3 linked regions of the Macaca mulatta genome follow. The protein of the gene in region 1 interacts with the protein of each later gene in a biochemical or structural test. Links are inferred from orthologs where the notes say so. Each region holds a gene or a part of one and is shown on either strand. Other genes may lie near its edges.

Region 1 (4,419 bases):
GCCTGGGCAACAAGAGTGAATGAAACTCCATCTAAAAAAAAAAAAAAAAAAAAAAACCAACAAACTCCTCCTTACGAAAGGCTGATGGGCAATCTGCAAAAACACCACCTCCCATGTCCAACAGCAATACTACTACTAACCACCACCACCACCACAAGATGAGTATCCTTAATCCAAGATGCTCCAAAATTTGAAACTTTTTGAGCACTCACATGATGCTCAAAGGAAATGCTCACTGGAGCATTCCGGATTTCAGATTTTTGGATTAGGGATGTTTAACCAGTAATTATAACACAAATATTCCAAAATTAAAACAAAACAAAACAAAACAAAACACAAAACTCTGAAACCTGCAACACTTCTAGTCCCAAGCATTCCAGGTAAGGAATACTTAACCTGTATTATAAGAACAGGGCTGCTGCCTTAGCCCCCCAGTGATAGTGACTTCCTCTTTCCCCAAGGTCAGCTTCACTTCTGGATATTTTTTTTTTTTTGAGGTGGGGTCTCACTCCGTCACCCAGGTGGAGTAAAGCAATGTGATCTCGGCTCACTGCAACCACAGCCTCCCGAGTTCCAGGGATTCTTCTGCCTCAATCTCCTGAGTAGCTGGGACTACAGGTGTGCACCACCACACCTAATTTTTGTATTTTTAGTAGAGATGGGTTTTCACCATGTTGGTCAGACTGGTCTTGAACTCCTGACCTCAAGTGATCCACCCACCTTGGCCTCCCAAAGTACTGGGATTACAGGCATGAGCTACCATGCCCGGCCTTTGATTCTTTAGTTATGCCACAAACTCCAGTTTCTTCTCTTGCCGATTTCTGCTGGCCTCTCCATGAAAAATCAGTTTGCTTCCTCCTTTTGCCTCTCAGCACTTGAAGCGTGGGGCTGTCTCTTTCTCTTCTCTCTTCATATCCTCCCTAAGGCCACCTCAAACCACTAGGAACATCTGGGTCCTAAAAGGTTTAACCAGGGAAATCGTCTAGCTTCCAAATCCTAAGATTCTGAGCCATAACCTGTAATGCAGTTTCCCATTACTGTACATCAGACAGCTCCGATAGCAGAAATGGATCAACAAACACTCCTGTTTTACCCAACAACATATACCTCAGCCTTTTCATCACATTTGCAAAATTTAAACAAACAAACAAAAAAGAAATGGTAGTATAAAGTACTTATGTACCTGGAAAACAGGCAGTGGTTTTAAAATTGTCCCATGAAAATCAACATTTGAATACAACTTTTCATTTTAATAAAATTAATATATATAATATATATACTAAATGTCTGCAAGCCTTCAACCAGAAGCCACCTATGTCAAGGGCACTTTTATGCCCACAAGTAGACTGGATGGCAAATTGTATCTGCCTGATGGGAGAGAGGATGCTTGATCTATAAACTGTGTTGATGATCAAACAGGAGTCGAAACTGATACCAACCGACACTGATCTTCTAAGTCATTTTAAAGGCCTCTGCATTGAGTAGAAACTGAAACTGATGCAGCTAGTATCATTACGTTAGGATAGAAGTCACAACAATGAGGTCAAATGGATTTGAATTCATCAGTGCAAACATGAAAAGTATTTACTGGGCTAACAGTTATGTAAAAGGAACCCTTTCTTAACTCAAGAGTAACACTTGGAATAAGTATCCAAAACACAATGTTGCCTGGGTGTGGTGGCCCATGCCTGTAATGCCAGCACTTAGGGAGGCTGAGGTGAAAGGATTGCTTGAGCCCAGAAATTACAGGTTGTAGTAAGCTATGATCCTACCTCTGCACTCCAGCTTAAGGCTCTGTCTCAAAAACAAAAAACAACAACAAAAAAAACCCACCACATCTGCCTTGTATTTCACTACCTAAGGAGTAGTAACTGGCTTACTGGTACTTCTATGACACAGAATCCCTGTTAATATCGAATATCTTTCCTGTACAGGTTCAATGGTATCAGTCAGTCCAGAACCCACAGAATTTTTGTCCCTGATCATTCCTGCCACCTCATCTTACCAGCTGGATCTCAAGGACACAGACCAAGCAAACATCCAGTAGTGGGAAAGGGTGGTAGTAGAAGGGCTCAGTCTGTGAATATAATCTTTCTAGGATGCACTTCTAACAAATGTGCTAGCTCACTGCATCTATGTGAATTGAGATGGAAAAACACACATCTGGAGACTCTAAGTTAGGATGTGGTCTAGGGGAGGGCCACAGGGACAACACTTTGCTGATCTCCCTATAATCATATTAGCAAATGCCAACTACCTGAAGTTCCTTAACCACCCCTTCACTCCAAACCTGAAACCCCTCCTGGCAGAAATAAGCACAAAAGGAAGGTGAAGGTAAAGATTCAAAACCTTTTCTGACGTAAAACCCTTTATCAAACTGATTATTTTCAAAGTTTTTTTTTTTGATACGGAGTCTCACTCTGCCACCCAGGCTGGAGTACAGTGGTGTGATCTCGACTCACTGAACCCGACTCCCGGGTTCAAGCGATTCTCCTGCCTCAGTCTCCCAAGTAGCTGGGACTACAGGCATCTGACACCACGCCTGGCTAATTTTTGTATTTTTAGTAGAGACAGGGTTTCGTCATGTTGGCCAGGATGGTCTCGATCTCTTGACCTCATGATCCACCTGCCGTGGCCTCCCAAAGTGTTGGGATTACAGGCGTGAGCCACTGCGCCCAGCCTATTTGACTGTGTTTTGTCAATAGTCAAATCAAAGTGCACCTTTAAATAAACAATCCAAAATGAGTCATAAAATGCGTAAAATACTGTAAAAATAATCTTTGTTCAGCACATTTTAGTTTTAGGAAAGTTATTGCCATTCTTCCTGGGTGCGGTTATGCCAGAGGAGAAAAACCATAATAATTTCAAAAACTAATTATTTACACATTGCCAAGATTCTATTTGCATGCAATGTTCTCTAGCAGACAAAAAGTAGATTAGTGGTTGCCTGGGGGCTACGGTGAGATGGTCGCGTTAACTATAAATTTACTACAAATCACTGAATTGTATACTTTCAACAGATTAATTTTATGGAATGAAATTACATAATAAAGTTGCTTAAAACTATTTAGAATGGTTCTCAGATTTCTACCAAGAATTAAGTTATCTGTGAATACAACAATTTACATCTTAAAGAAACCACTACCATGATCATTATTTCCTAATCTGATCATCACATCATAAAAGAATCCAAGACCTTATTTTATTATAGCGGCAGTGTTCTTTTTCTACCCAAGAGAGAAAAAACTGGCTGGGCGCCATGGCTCACACGAGTAATCCCAGGACTTTTGAGTGGCCTAGGTGGGCAGATTCCTTGAGTCCACGAGTTTCAGATCAGCTTGGGCAACAAGGTGAAACCCCATCTCTTCAAAAAAATACATGAATTAGCTGAGCGTGGTGATGCATGTCTGCAGTCCTAGCTACCTGGGAGGCTGAGGCAGGAGGATCGCTTGAGCCTGGGAGGCAGAGGTTGCAATGAGGTTAAGATGGTGCTACTGCACTCCAGCCTGGGCTGTTAACAGAGTGAGACTCTGTTCCCCCACCTCCCCTAAAAAGCTAAGTTAAAAACAAGTTGATGAAATAGAAAACATGAGAGATGATACCACTGCATCTAAACTCTCACAATTCCTAACAGAAGTACGTGATAATTGTTTATGATAAATATCTTAATTTCAATAACTTCCTGAGATATAGAAAAGTACTTACATTCATCATAAAATCCATAAATTCTGTTGATGCTGGCACATTCATGGTTCCCTCTGAGAAGAAAAAAATTCTCAGGATATTTGATTTTGTAGGCCAGTAAGAGGCAGATCGTCTCCAATGACTGCTTTCCCCTGTCCACATAGTCCCCAAGAAACAGGTAGTTGCTTTCTGGCGGGAAACCACCGTACTCAAAAAGTCGCAGCAAATCATAGTATTGCCCATGGATGTCACCTAGAAGCAAGAATTTTGTTACACAGTGTTCCCATACTTACAGCTCAATCCACTAACAAAGCTTTAGAAAGAAATTCTTTAAAAATTCATTGTACAATGGCATTGACCTCTAGTAATGAGAGTTTAATTGGACAGCCAACACTAAGTAATTTCCAAACTGGCATCATATTTAGTTCAATTGAACTTAATAAAATTTTTAAGTATATGTGTATGTCCAGAACCTCACACAAAATTCAACTAATTAAGAATTTATTCTGTGGAAAGGGTTATTATGTCCAGGCATGCCTTCTTGCCAAGTAACATGGTATTCCTTTCAGGATGACTGATCAATATCAGATCCCTGATAGCTCAGTCTCTAGGTACTGTGTCAGCAGAACTGCTGCACTTTTAGCGAGCCTTGGCCCAGTCTGAGCAAAGCACATACACACATACACACGACCCCCACCCCCCACCCATCAATGCATTTAGCTTTCAATTGCTCCC
Region 2 (4,519 bases), on another chromosome or scaffold:
ATCCAGACTCTGCTTCAGAGTCCCAAGAAACAGTACAGTCCCCCATTCCCTTCAGAACCCCACTGCCTTCAGGAGGGGAAAGCGGTTGGGAGAGGACCCCCCAGGACCCAGCCTAGGGGAGGGACTGGCCTGGGAGGGGAAGAGCAGCCACTCACTTTTAACCTTTCAGGCCTCCTGCTGGGGTGGGAGGTGGGAGAGAGGCAGAGAGAGGCTAATATTCCGGTCGAGTGAGAGGAAAGTTGGGCAGCTTCAATGTCCAGGAGTAGTTATGGAAACGGCAAGCAAACAGATGGTGGTTTGGCTAGGGAAGGGTAAAGGCCGGGCAGGGTCCAGGCCAAGGAGAGTCCAGGGACCTGGACACTTCCATGGGGCGGACCTGGGGCCGGGTGCAGCTGAGCCTGGGGTGGTGAGAAAGAACCCTGCAGGCTGAATGTGCCAGCCAAGAGTGGAGGGTGGTGGGAAGTGGGGGGAGGGGTGGCCTGGGGTTTTTGATTCCCCCCAGGGGATGTCCCCTCCCCATCGGCGCTGTTCTGAGGGCCTCCAAGCTCTGGCATAACCCACAAACCAACCACCAATAGTGGCAGTGGGGATGAGACTCCCAAAGGGGCAGCTCCCATCCCTCTTTCAGGGCTCCTAGAGAATGTGGGAAGAACACTTGGGGCCTGCCAAGGCCCTGGGAGTCTGTCCTATTGAGCAGCCAAGAGCAAAGGCATGCCCATTACTGCCAGGCACCCAGGGGGATCCTAGCCCCACCTCCTCCCCTCCATGCCTGCAGAAGGCCTCTCCCCATCAAGGACCACACAAAGTGCCCCTCCCTGTGCAACCAGGATGGGGCAGCTGGCCTGCAGGGACCCCCAGGGAACACGGCGCCAGTCAGTCACATGGCCACAGACCAGCTCACCCTCACGATCTGCTTCCCTCTTTCACTTCTGCAAACTTGGGGTGGGGTGCAAACAGAATGGAGGAAGGGCTGCCGTCCCCTGCAGCTTCGTTTTGAGAAGTTCCTGGCTTTCCCCTTTCTCACCCCATCCAGCTCCCATACAGGAGGAGAGCACCCCTAGCCCCCCTCTACCCAGTGAAGGGCAAATATCTCTCCTGAGGACACACACACCCCTTTCACGCTACCCAAGCCCCAGCCTCTGGCAGCCTCTGGAGTAAGGAATGTCTGGGCGAGGAAGGCAAAGCAGGTGTCCCAGAACCTGCGTGGGGCAGGACGGGTTCTGCGAAGTGGCGGGGCGGGGCGGGGCAGCAGGCGGAGGAACCTGAGGGCAGGTCGGGGCAGGCCACCCCCCTCGCACACCTGAAAATCCCTCTCTGACAAACAGCTGGAACTCCCCCACGCCCCCCTGAGGGTGGGAACTTCTGGGAAGGGGGCTGGGTGGCAGGGGCTGACTCAGCCTGCCAAACCCGGCTGGCTGGCGAGCCGGGGGCGGCCGCGTGCACGTGGCAGGGGCGGCGCGGGGGCGGGGAGGGGGGGCTCACTTACTTGGATGGGCGCCGTGCTGAAATGGATCTTCCGGCTCGGGGCTGGGTCCTCCTCCTCCGACAGCCCCGGGATCTCCACGCACCCCGACTCGGGCTCGTAGGGGGGCTCCCCATCCTCCTCGTCTTCTTCGTCGTCCTCCTCTAGGGCACTGCCCCCAGAGTCCTCCCCGAGCCCACTGTAGGCGCTCACGTCCACCAAGTCCGCCTCCGAGAAGTCCTCCTTCTTGGATTCATCTACTTCCTCAGGGGCCACGTCCGGGGCCCGGCCATTGCCCACCCCCCTCTCTGGCGGCGCTACCGCCGCCGCCTCCTTCTCCGGGGCCACTTGGGCCTTTGGCTGCTCGGGCGCGGGGCTGGCTGCGGTTGCCGCGGTGCTGCCATTCTCCAGGGCCGCGTGGACCGTAACCTCGGCCTGGATCACCTCCCCGGGCGCCGACTCGGCCTCCGACTCCCCGCTCTCCTCCACCTCCACCGGCTTAATCTTGCGCACCTCCCGGGGCTTGGGGGGCGGCCGGGCAGGGGCCACTCGGTGCTGCGGGGGCTGCTGCCCTCCGGGGCAGCGCTCTTTCTCCGCCGGAGCATCCCCCGACGGGGCGGGCGGCGGCGGCGGCGGCGGGGGCTGGAACACCCGGGACCGCTTGCTGACCAGCTTCGAGTTGACCTGGGGAGCCCCTGCGGCCCTGGGGAGCCCGGGCCCGCGGTGGAGGCCGGTCCTCGAGTCGGCCTTCTCGAAGACGGCGCTGAGCTGGCTGACCGTCGGGGACACGGCGTCAGCGTCCAGCTTGTCCAGCGCCTCAGTGCTGCCGTTGAAGCGCACCACGACGTCCAGCTTCCGGTCCTGCAGGCCGGCGCGCTCCTGCCTCAGCAGCCGCCGCGCCGCGGCCTCCTTGTCGCCGCCTGCGGCCGCCGGGGCGCTCCGTTCGAACAGCTTCCGCGTCTCCTGCAGCCGGGACGGCGGGTGCGGCGGCGGCGCAGGCTGCGCGGAGGGCGCGGGCTTGGAGTCGAAGCGGCTCACGCGCTCCGACACGCTGGTGCCCAGCTTCAGCAGGGCGCTGTGGTCCACGTTCTCGTTCAGGCTGCTGGCCCGCGGCAGCGACAGGCGCACGCCGCGATCGGACGCCCGCGGGGCCTCGGCCAGGCCCGCGCCGCCGCCCGCCTCGCCCGAGGGCCCCGCCGTCGTGCCCATCTGCAGGAACATACTTTTGATGCGGTGGACGTTGGAGCCATATTTCTTGTGGTGGGCCCCCTTGGGTGCCTCGTCGGGCCCGGGCGCGTCGGGCGGCTTCAGCGCCTGGATGCCCGCCTCGTAGGCGCTGCGGTGCGGGGAGGCGCTCCGGAGGGGACCCCCGGGCCCCCGTGGCTCCGTCTTCATCATGGTGGGGGGAGCCGGGTTCGCATCCCCTTGCTCCCCGCTCCCCCCCTTCAACAGGCGGCTGGCCAAGTCGGGACCACCGCCCCCTCCCCCCGATAAAAGAAACCCCAGAAGGCCTTTTTTAGGGTCCCCCCAAAACCGCTGCCAAAAACAGTTAATCCCGCTTTTTTAAAAAAATGAAAAAAAAAAAATCTCCAAGCGCCCTGTGTGTGGGTCGCCTCCCCCAGTCAAGCTGCCGAAGACAGCCAGCCCCGCTTCAAAAGCCCAAGCGGCCTGGTACGGTCGCCCCCACCCAAATTAGCAAAGCGGCGTCTGGGGCCGGTGGGAGCGCGCGCCCTGCCCGCGAAGCAGCCGCGGCGTCGCCGGCTCACATCGTCCGAGGCGGTGTCAGTGGGGCTGGCAGCCCGGGCGTCCCCCAGTCCGGCCGGAGGCCTCGGCTCTCGGGGGGCCCGGCACCCCAGCGCCCATGGCTGCTCCGCCGGCCCGGGCCGCTCCGCCGCCGCGCCTCCCTCCCTCCCTCCCTCCCCCCCGTGCCCCGAGCCTCGGTCTTTCTCTGGCTCTGCCCGAGCGGCGGCTGCCGGAGACCGAGCGGCTGCCCTTCTCGCCGCCGCCGCTGGGGGACTGGCACCTCTGGGTCCTAAAGGGATCGGATTTCCGGGGCCGGAGCCTGTGAGCCCTCCCCTTCCCCTCCACCCGAACGGATCCCCTCCCCTCCCCAGCCTTCGCTGAGAGCCTTCCTCTGCCCCCGGACATTGGCCAGCCGTCTTCAACCCTTCCATCACAACCTCTGACTGCGGCTTATCACAACCCACAGAACCGCACCCCCATGAAATATTGGGCGGAGGCAGTACATCCACGATGGTCTCAATGTGAGGGGAGGGGGGTCTGTGGGGAGGGGCAGAGGTTCATTCTTCAGGGTCCTCGGAGCTAGCTCTTCGGTGTGCTTCAAGGCTTTAGCATCAGAATCGCTGGGCGCTTGGTAAAAATACAGATTTCTGAGCTCTCCCTCGAACCTTGTGTAGGAGAATCTCAGAGGCTGAACCCAGGAATCTGCATTTTAACACTTCACTACAGGGACTCTTTGGCACCCTTGGAGGTGTGAAACCTTGGCCCAGTGCTGGTGACCTTTCGATGGTGGGGGAGGGGTCGTGAAGAAAGGAGGTGGACCCCGTCATCCAAGTAGCAGGGGATCATCAAAACTGCCCCTTTAGACGTCTGGAGAGGATGTCCTGTCGCCTGTCTGCTGTGCACCCGTCTTCAGGCCCCTACCCTGGCACTCCTGCGTCTCAAACCGGAAGGAAGGGTTTGGGAGCAGGAATTCTAGAGGCCTGGGGCCAAAGTTTTCCCAGTGAGAGCTCTAACTTGGGTCTCTGATTTAAAGGATCCTGGCGACTGTGTTCCGGTGGGGGTGGGGGGTGGGGAGGGTGACAGTGACCTACACATCCCCTGTCCTGGCAACCCAGAAAGCTGTTTGATGCTCTCTGCACCCCCCGCATACACACCTAAGGTGCTGGTGCTTCCTGGGCCCTGGGTGTGAGGGTCCACCCTCTGGACAGGTCCAGGTGAGCGGGTTCAGTCCACACATCCCAGAAACTGGTGAACACAATGGGCCCTAGGACCCAGAGAACAACTCAGGCACAAAGCCTCCCCCCACTCCCAGCT
Region 3 (4,519 bases), on another chromosome or scaffold:
GTTCTGGAACCAGGTTTTGACCTGCGCGTCGGTCATTTTGAGCGCCTTGGCCAGGGCGGCGCGCTCGGCCGAGGCCAGGTACTTCTGGCGGTGGAAGCGCTTCTCCAGCTCGCAGATCTGCAGGCGTGTGAAGGACGTACGCGGCTTCTTCTTCTTGGGGGGCGTCCGGTTCTGATAGGGGTGACCTATACGGCGTGTTACAGTGAAGGGTGAGAGGGCCACTGGAGCGGGAGACAGACAGACGGCAGAGGCAAGCAGCAGAGCGTCAGGAAGCGTCCCAGGCCCAACACCCCGCGAATCAGCGAGCGCAGCAGCTGAACTCCCACGAGCAGGGCCGAGATCCTCCCGTTAGCCCTCAGCACCAAGCCCACGGCGGGAAACGGCCCCCTCCTGCCCGCCAGTCGAACGCCGACTTCGCAGCTACCACAGAGGCCTCCCTAGCCCCGGGCTCCCGCGAGCCCAACCACCACCCTGCCGCCCCTCATCCAAGGGGCAGTCTAAGGCGAGCTAATGGTCACGCTCCCCTCCCCTCAGTCAGCCCCAGACCTTCAGGCTCAGAGTAGGAGACCGAACCTGACTCTGGAACCCGACCTGAGCCTCTGTCCACAGCAGCACACACCAACACAACGTACAACGGGGGCAAACTCATAGATCTATACACCCAAACAGGACCAGACAAGCACAGGCACGGGACAAAAACACAGGACACAGAGCAACACAAGGCCACAGCCATACACTCGCTCAAAACTCCTTCATGCCTGACACAGTATTAGGGCCCCGAGGTAGGCCCTAAACCGAGTACCTTTCACCAGAGGCCCAGGATTAGTAGACTCTGGGCTGGGGTTCCAGCAGGGCCCTTCAAGACTGGCCTGGCCTGGGTGGGGAATGGGATGGGCACCAGGCCCTGCTGCCCCAGGCCAGAGAAAACTTGGGTTGGGGGCACTGGGGCCCCTCCAGCGAGGGCCCTTCCTGAGGTCTAGACCCAAGCAACTGTTCTTCGTCTGGACACCAGCCCCCACACCACTTCTGCTGTGGCCCCAGAGTCTGGTAAGAAGCTGCAGGAGCAGTTTCCCTGACCGTGCTCCTGCCTGGAACAGAAGCAGGGAGTCAGGGGTGCCTCGGGGTCTCCTGGCCCAGTGTCTGACTCTCAGCAGCTTCTCCCAAGTAGTTATGTATACCCCCTTCCACTGTTGGTCCCTTGAGCCAGGGGATCCCCAGGAGTCCCGGTCTCTGCCAGCAGCAGCCAGTGTCTCCTGCCTCCTCTCTCTAAGGCCAGCTGGCTAACCTGGGCTCAATTTGTGGCTGCTTCCCAGCCGGGACGGGAGGATCATGGTCTGGGATCCAGGGAGTCCTAAGGGGAGCAGGAAGTGAGAACAGGGGAAGGGACCCACACCAGAGGGAGAGTTGAGTGTCCAGAGCAGAAACGGCAGCAGAGGGAGCCAGGGCCAGCAGAGGAAGGCAGGAGTGGGCAGCAGGGAAGGCGGCAGCGGCCCACCTAGTACCTAATGTCCTGGGAGTAGTCCTCCCGCCACCGATCACTGGCCTGCCCAGTGCATTATTCATGCCCAAGATAACAGGGCTGGGCCCGGGGTAGGACATGCAGCCAGGACAGAACGAAAATGAAAAGCTAGCTGTCCTGGGCGGCTATGCCCCGCTGCCATCCTCCCAGACGAAGCCTCCTCTCTGGGAAAAAAAAAAAGGGCCACTGGTTCTGCTGATTTACTGGAGCTCAGAGCTCCCGCTGGCCCCGCAGCACCACGGGCACCGGAGCTAGGAGCGCGGAGTGCATGTGTGCAGGGTACTGAAGGTGGGGGAACCTGTTCTTTTCTTGCGTCTGATCCTGGGGCTGGCTTCTTCGGTCCTAGAACTGCAGCCAGGACGGAAGAAACTGTTCACATTGCACCCCTTTCTCTAAGATTCCCGGACCCGGAGTAGCTGCAGAAGGTGGTCCTCAATCTATGGCCTTCTTCTCTGCCTGACCGGGCCCAGGGATCCCGAGAGGAGACCAGGGAGAGCTTCTCTGAGCAGGGGTCCTTTGGGAGACAGAGAGGGGTCCAGGCTGAGAGAACTCTTCAAGCATGGCGAGTCTGCGATGTAGAATCGGGCGGGCGGCTCAACTTGGGGGAAGCACCAAGAAGAGGTGGGCGACCTGGCGCACAGAACCGGCTTTGGGGAGCCAGCCGGCGGGGAAAGGGTAACACAGAGCCCGGGCCGCGGCCAGGCGAGGCGCGCGCGCAGGCCGGACTCACCTGTGAACCTGTCCTTTGTGTATCTGCGGTTACTCTCCATCCAGGGGAAGGTGAGGCCAGTGAGGTTGTTGACGCCTGGCATGGCAGGCACAGAGGGCACGGTGGGCAAGCCGGTGGCCAGCGGCTGGGGGTGGGCCACGGCTCCGGTGAGCGGCCTGTGTGCCGGCACCCGGATCACCCCCGCAGCGCTGAGTGCCCCCGCACCGCCGCTGCTGCTACCGCCGCCGCCAGGACCGGGGCCGCCCGCCAAGGCCATGTTCACGTTGTAGGAGCCGGCCAGCGGACCCATGCTGCAGGCGCCGCCGCCGCCTGCCGGGCCTCCGGGGCCGCCGGGGCCTCCGGGGCCGCCCGGACCTCCAGTGCCATAGGCCCCCGCGCCTCCAGCCCCAGCCCCGGGCGCGGAGCCCCCGCCGCCGTAAGTGTAGGCGCCTCCAACCAAGCAGCCAAGGCCGTATTCTCCGTCCTGGAGGCGCGAGGCGGGCCCCATGCAGCCACCCTGGTCTGGGCTGTTGAGGATCTGGTCGATGCCGAAGCTGATGGGCTCTGCGTGGCCCGGGTGGAGGTGGTGCGGTCCCAGGTGCTCCATGCTAGCCCCGGCCCCACGGGGGGGCCCGGGCGGCGGCGCTCGCTGCGCTCGGCTCCGGGGGCAGCTAGCAGGGGCTGGGAGGCAACAGCGGCTCCTGGCTGCGCGGAGACTTGGAAGCGAAGTGCGCAGAAGGGCTAAAGTAGAAGGGGGAGGGGAGGGAGAGGGGGGCCGTATTCTTCCCCTCTCTGGCTTCTGCTTCCCGGCTCCGGCTCCGCTCGCTGTTGACTCTGGGACATCAATCACCAGGCGAAAAAGCCCGGTGCAAGAGAGCTTCGCGGTTTCGGCCGGGTCTCTCCATTGGCTGTGCGCGGAGAGGAGCGGGGTGAATGACAGCGCGAGGGAGGGGAGGGGAGGGGGAGAGGAAGGCCAGAAGCCGAGACAGATGCAGGAGCCAGAGATAGAGAGACGGAGACCAAGACTCGGAGTAGTTCATGAGGAGAGAGAAGAGGGGAAAAAGGAGAGGCTTAAAAGGAAAAGGGAAAACAAGAAGCGACCATTCCCAGAGACGGACAGACAGACAAACTCAAGGAGGGTGAAGTCAACTGTCTTCCCGGCCTGTTGGTAGGCATCCCCTCACTTTGAACCGGGTCAAAGGAGTCCAGCCCACAAGGCGTCTGGGGAAGGGATGTCCCTACCCAACTGGAGAATCTCCCCAAGGGCTCAGCTGGGAAACACCTGTCACTCAACCAGGAGATTTACTCCAAACTTCAAGTCCAGCTTGTTAGAAAGTAGAAGACTGTCTACTCCCCAGGTATGGAGCCCAGGCCCTGAGGCAGGACGGTGAGTTCAGGCTTGTCCTTCTTTAAAACACAGGCCTATGAACAACTGGCTATATGTTATAAAAATCAGCAACCATCCCCCAACTCAGCCTTCTTAGAGAAATTCAGGAAGGGAACATTTCTTGAAAGGCAGGCACAAGTCAAGAGGGTTGGTTTGGGGTCTGCTGCCAGGGTGCCCATGCCTCAACACACGCCTTTCCTTTTGAATAAACAGATGCCTCAAGAAGTAAAACCCTACAGGGTTTGAAAGAGGCAATTCCTACAGTGTTTGAATGAATTCAACCAGATTGCTTTCCACCTAACAATTACCCCAGGGTTGGCTATTCCAGGCAAGAAGACTTTGGACTGTGGTGTGTGTTATTTTCTTACTTTTGGAATCTTGGGAGGAAGCCATAGGGGCTTAAGACCGTAGGGGCTGGGATTGGTAGGACTAGGATCAGGAAAGTGCATCCAGGACAAATTTAGGCCTTTCCAACGTTTTGCCAGTGGCAGTCTGGCTGACAGCCCAAGAGAAAAGGAGGAAACTCCCTTTTTCTTCTTCCTCTCTTTCCCCTCTCCAGTAGAAAATGTTTGCTACCTTTTAGAAGTCAAGTTTTGGGAAAGGCACAGGTTCCATCACTTGGGATCTATTTCTGGTCTATTTCAGTTCAGTTTCAGATTAGACTTTTGAGTACTCCCCGTCTCTATCTGGAAAGATGCTAGGATGTGAAGACTCACATTCTCTCCTCATCAAGTCTTATTGCAATCTATTTGCTTTGGGCATGTCTGTCACCTCCACTTGAAGAGATCTTGGAGACAGAGAGTGGCTTATTCATTTCTGTTCTCTCCTGAAGAATACAGCCCCAAACAACAAAATATGCTCATCTTGGGGAATAACAAGAGAATGTATCTCTTTATTCAATAAT

What was found.
Region 2: the proteins of PPP1CC (region 1) and PPP1R9B form a complex in vitro, tested with the Homo sapiens proteins (2 studies listed by BioGRID). The link is inferred for Macaca mulatta from reciprocal best matches to the Homo sapiens genes PPP1CC and PPP1R9B.
Region 3: the proteins of PPP1CC (region 1) and TLX1 form a complex in vitro, tested with the Homo sapiens proteins (2 studies listed by BioGRID). The link is inferred for Macaca mulatta from reciprocal best matches to the Homo sapiens genes PPP1CC and TLX1.

What each region holds. Positions count from the first base shown.
Region 1 is NC_133416.1:117,907,831-117,912,249, forward strand, and holds part of PPP1CC (serine/threonine-protein phosphatase PP1-gamma catalytic subunit), read right to left. Parts: intron 3,937-4,419; coding exon 3,706-3,936; intron 1-3,705. UniProt on the Homo sapiens protein: Protein phosphatase that associates with over 200 regulatory proteins to form highly specific holoenzymes which dephosphorylate hundreds of biological targets.
Region 2 is NC_133421.1:59,860,671-59,865,189, reverse strand, and holds the start of PPP1R9B (neurabin-2), read right to left. Parts: upstream 3,421-4,519; 5' UTR 2,861-3,420; coding exon 1,487-2,860; intron 1-1,486. UniProt on the Homo sapiens protein: Seems to act as a scaffold protein in multiple signaling pathways. Modulates excitatory synaptic transmission and dendritic spine morphology. Binds to actin filaments (F-actin) and shows cross-linking activity. Binds along the sides of the F-actin.
Region 3 is NC_133414.1:113,194,231-113,198,749, reverse strand, and holds the start of TLX1 (T-cell leukemia homeobox protein 1), read right to left. Parts: upstream 3,234-4,519; 5' UTR 2,836-3,233; coding exon 2,250-2,835; intron 186-2,249; coding exon 1-185. UniProt on the Homo sapiens protein: Controls the genesis of the spleen. Binds to the DNA sequence 5'-GGCGGTAAGTGG-3'.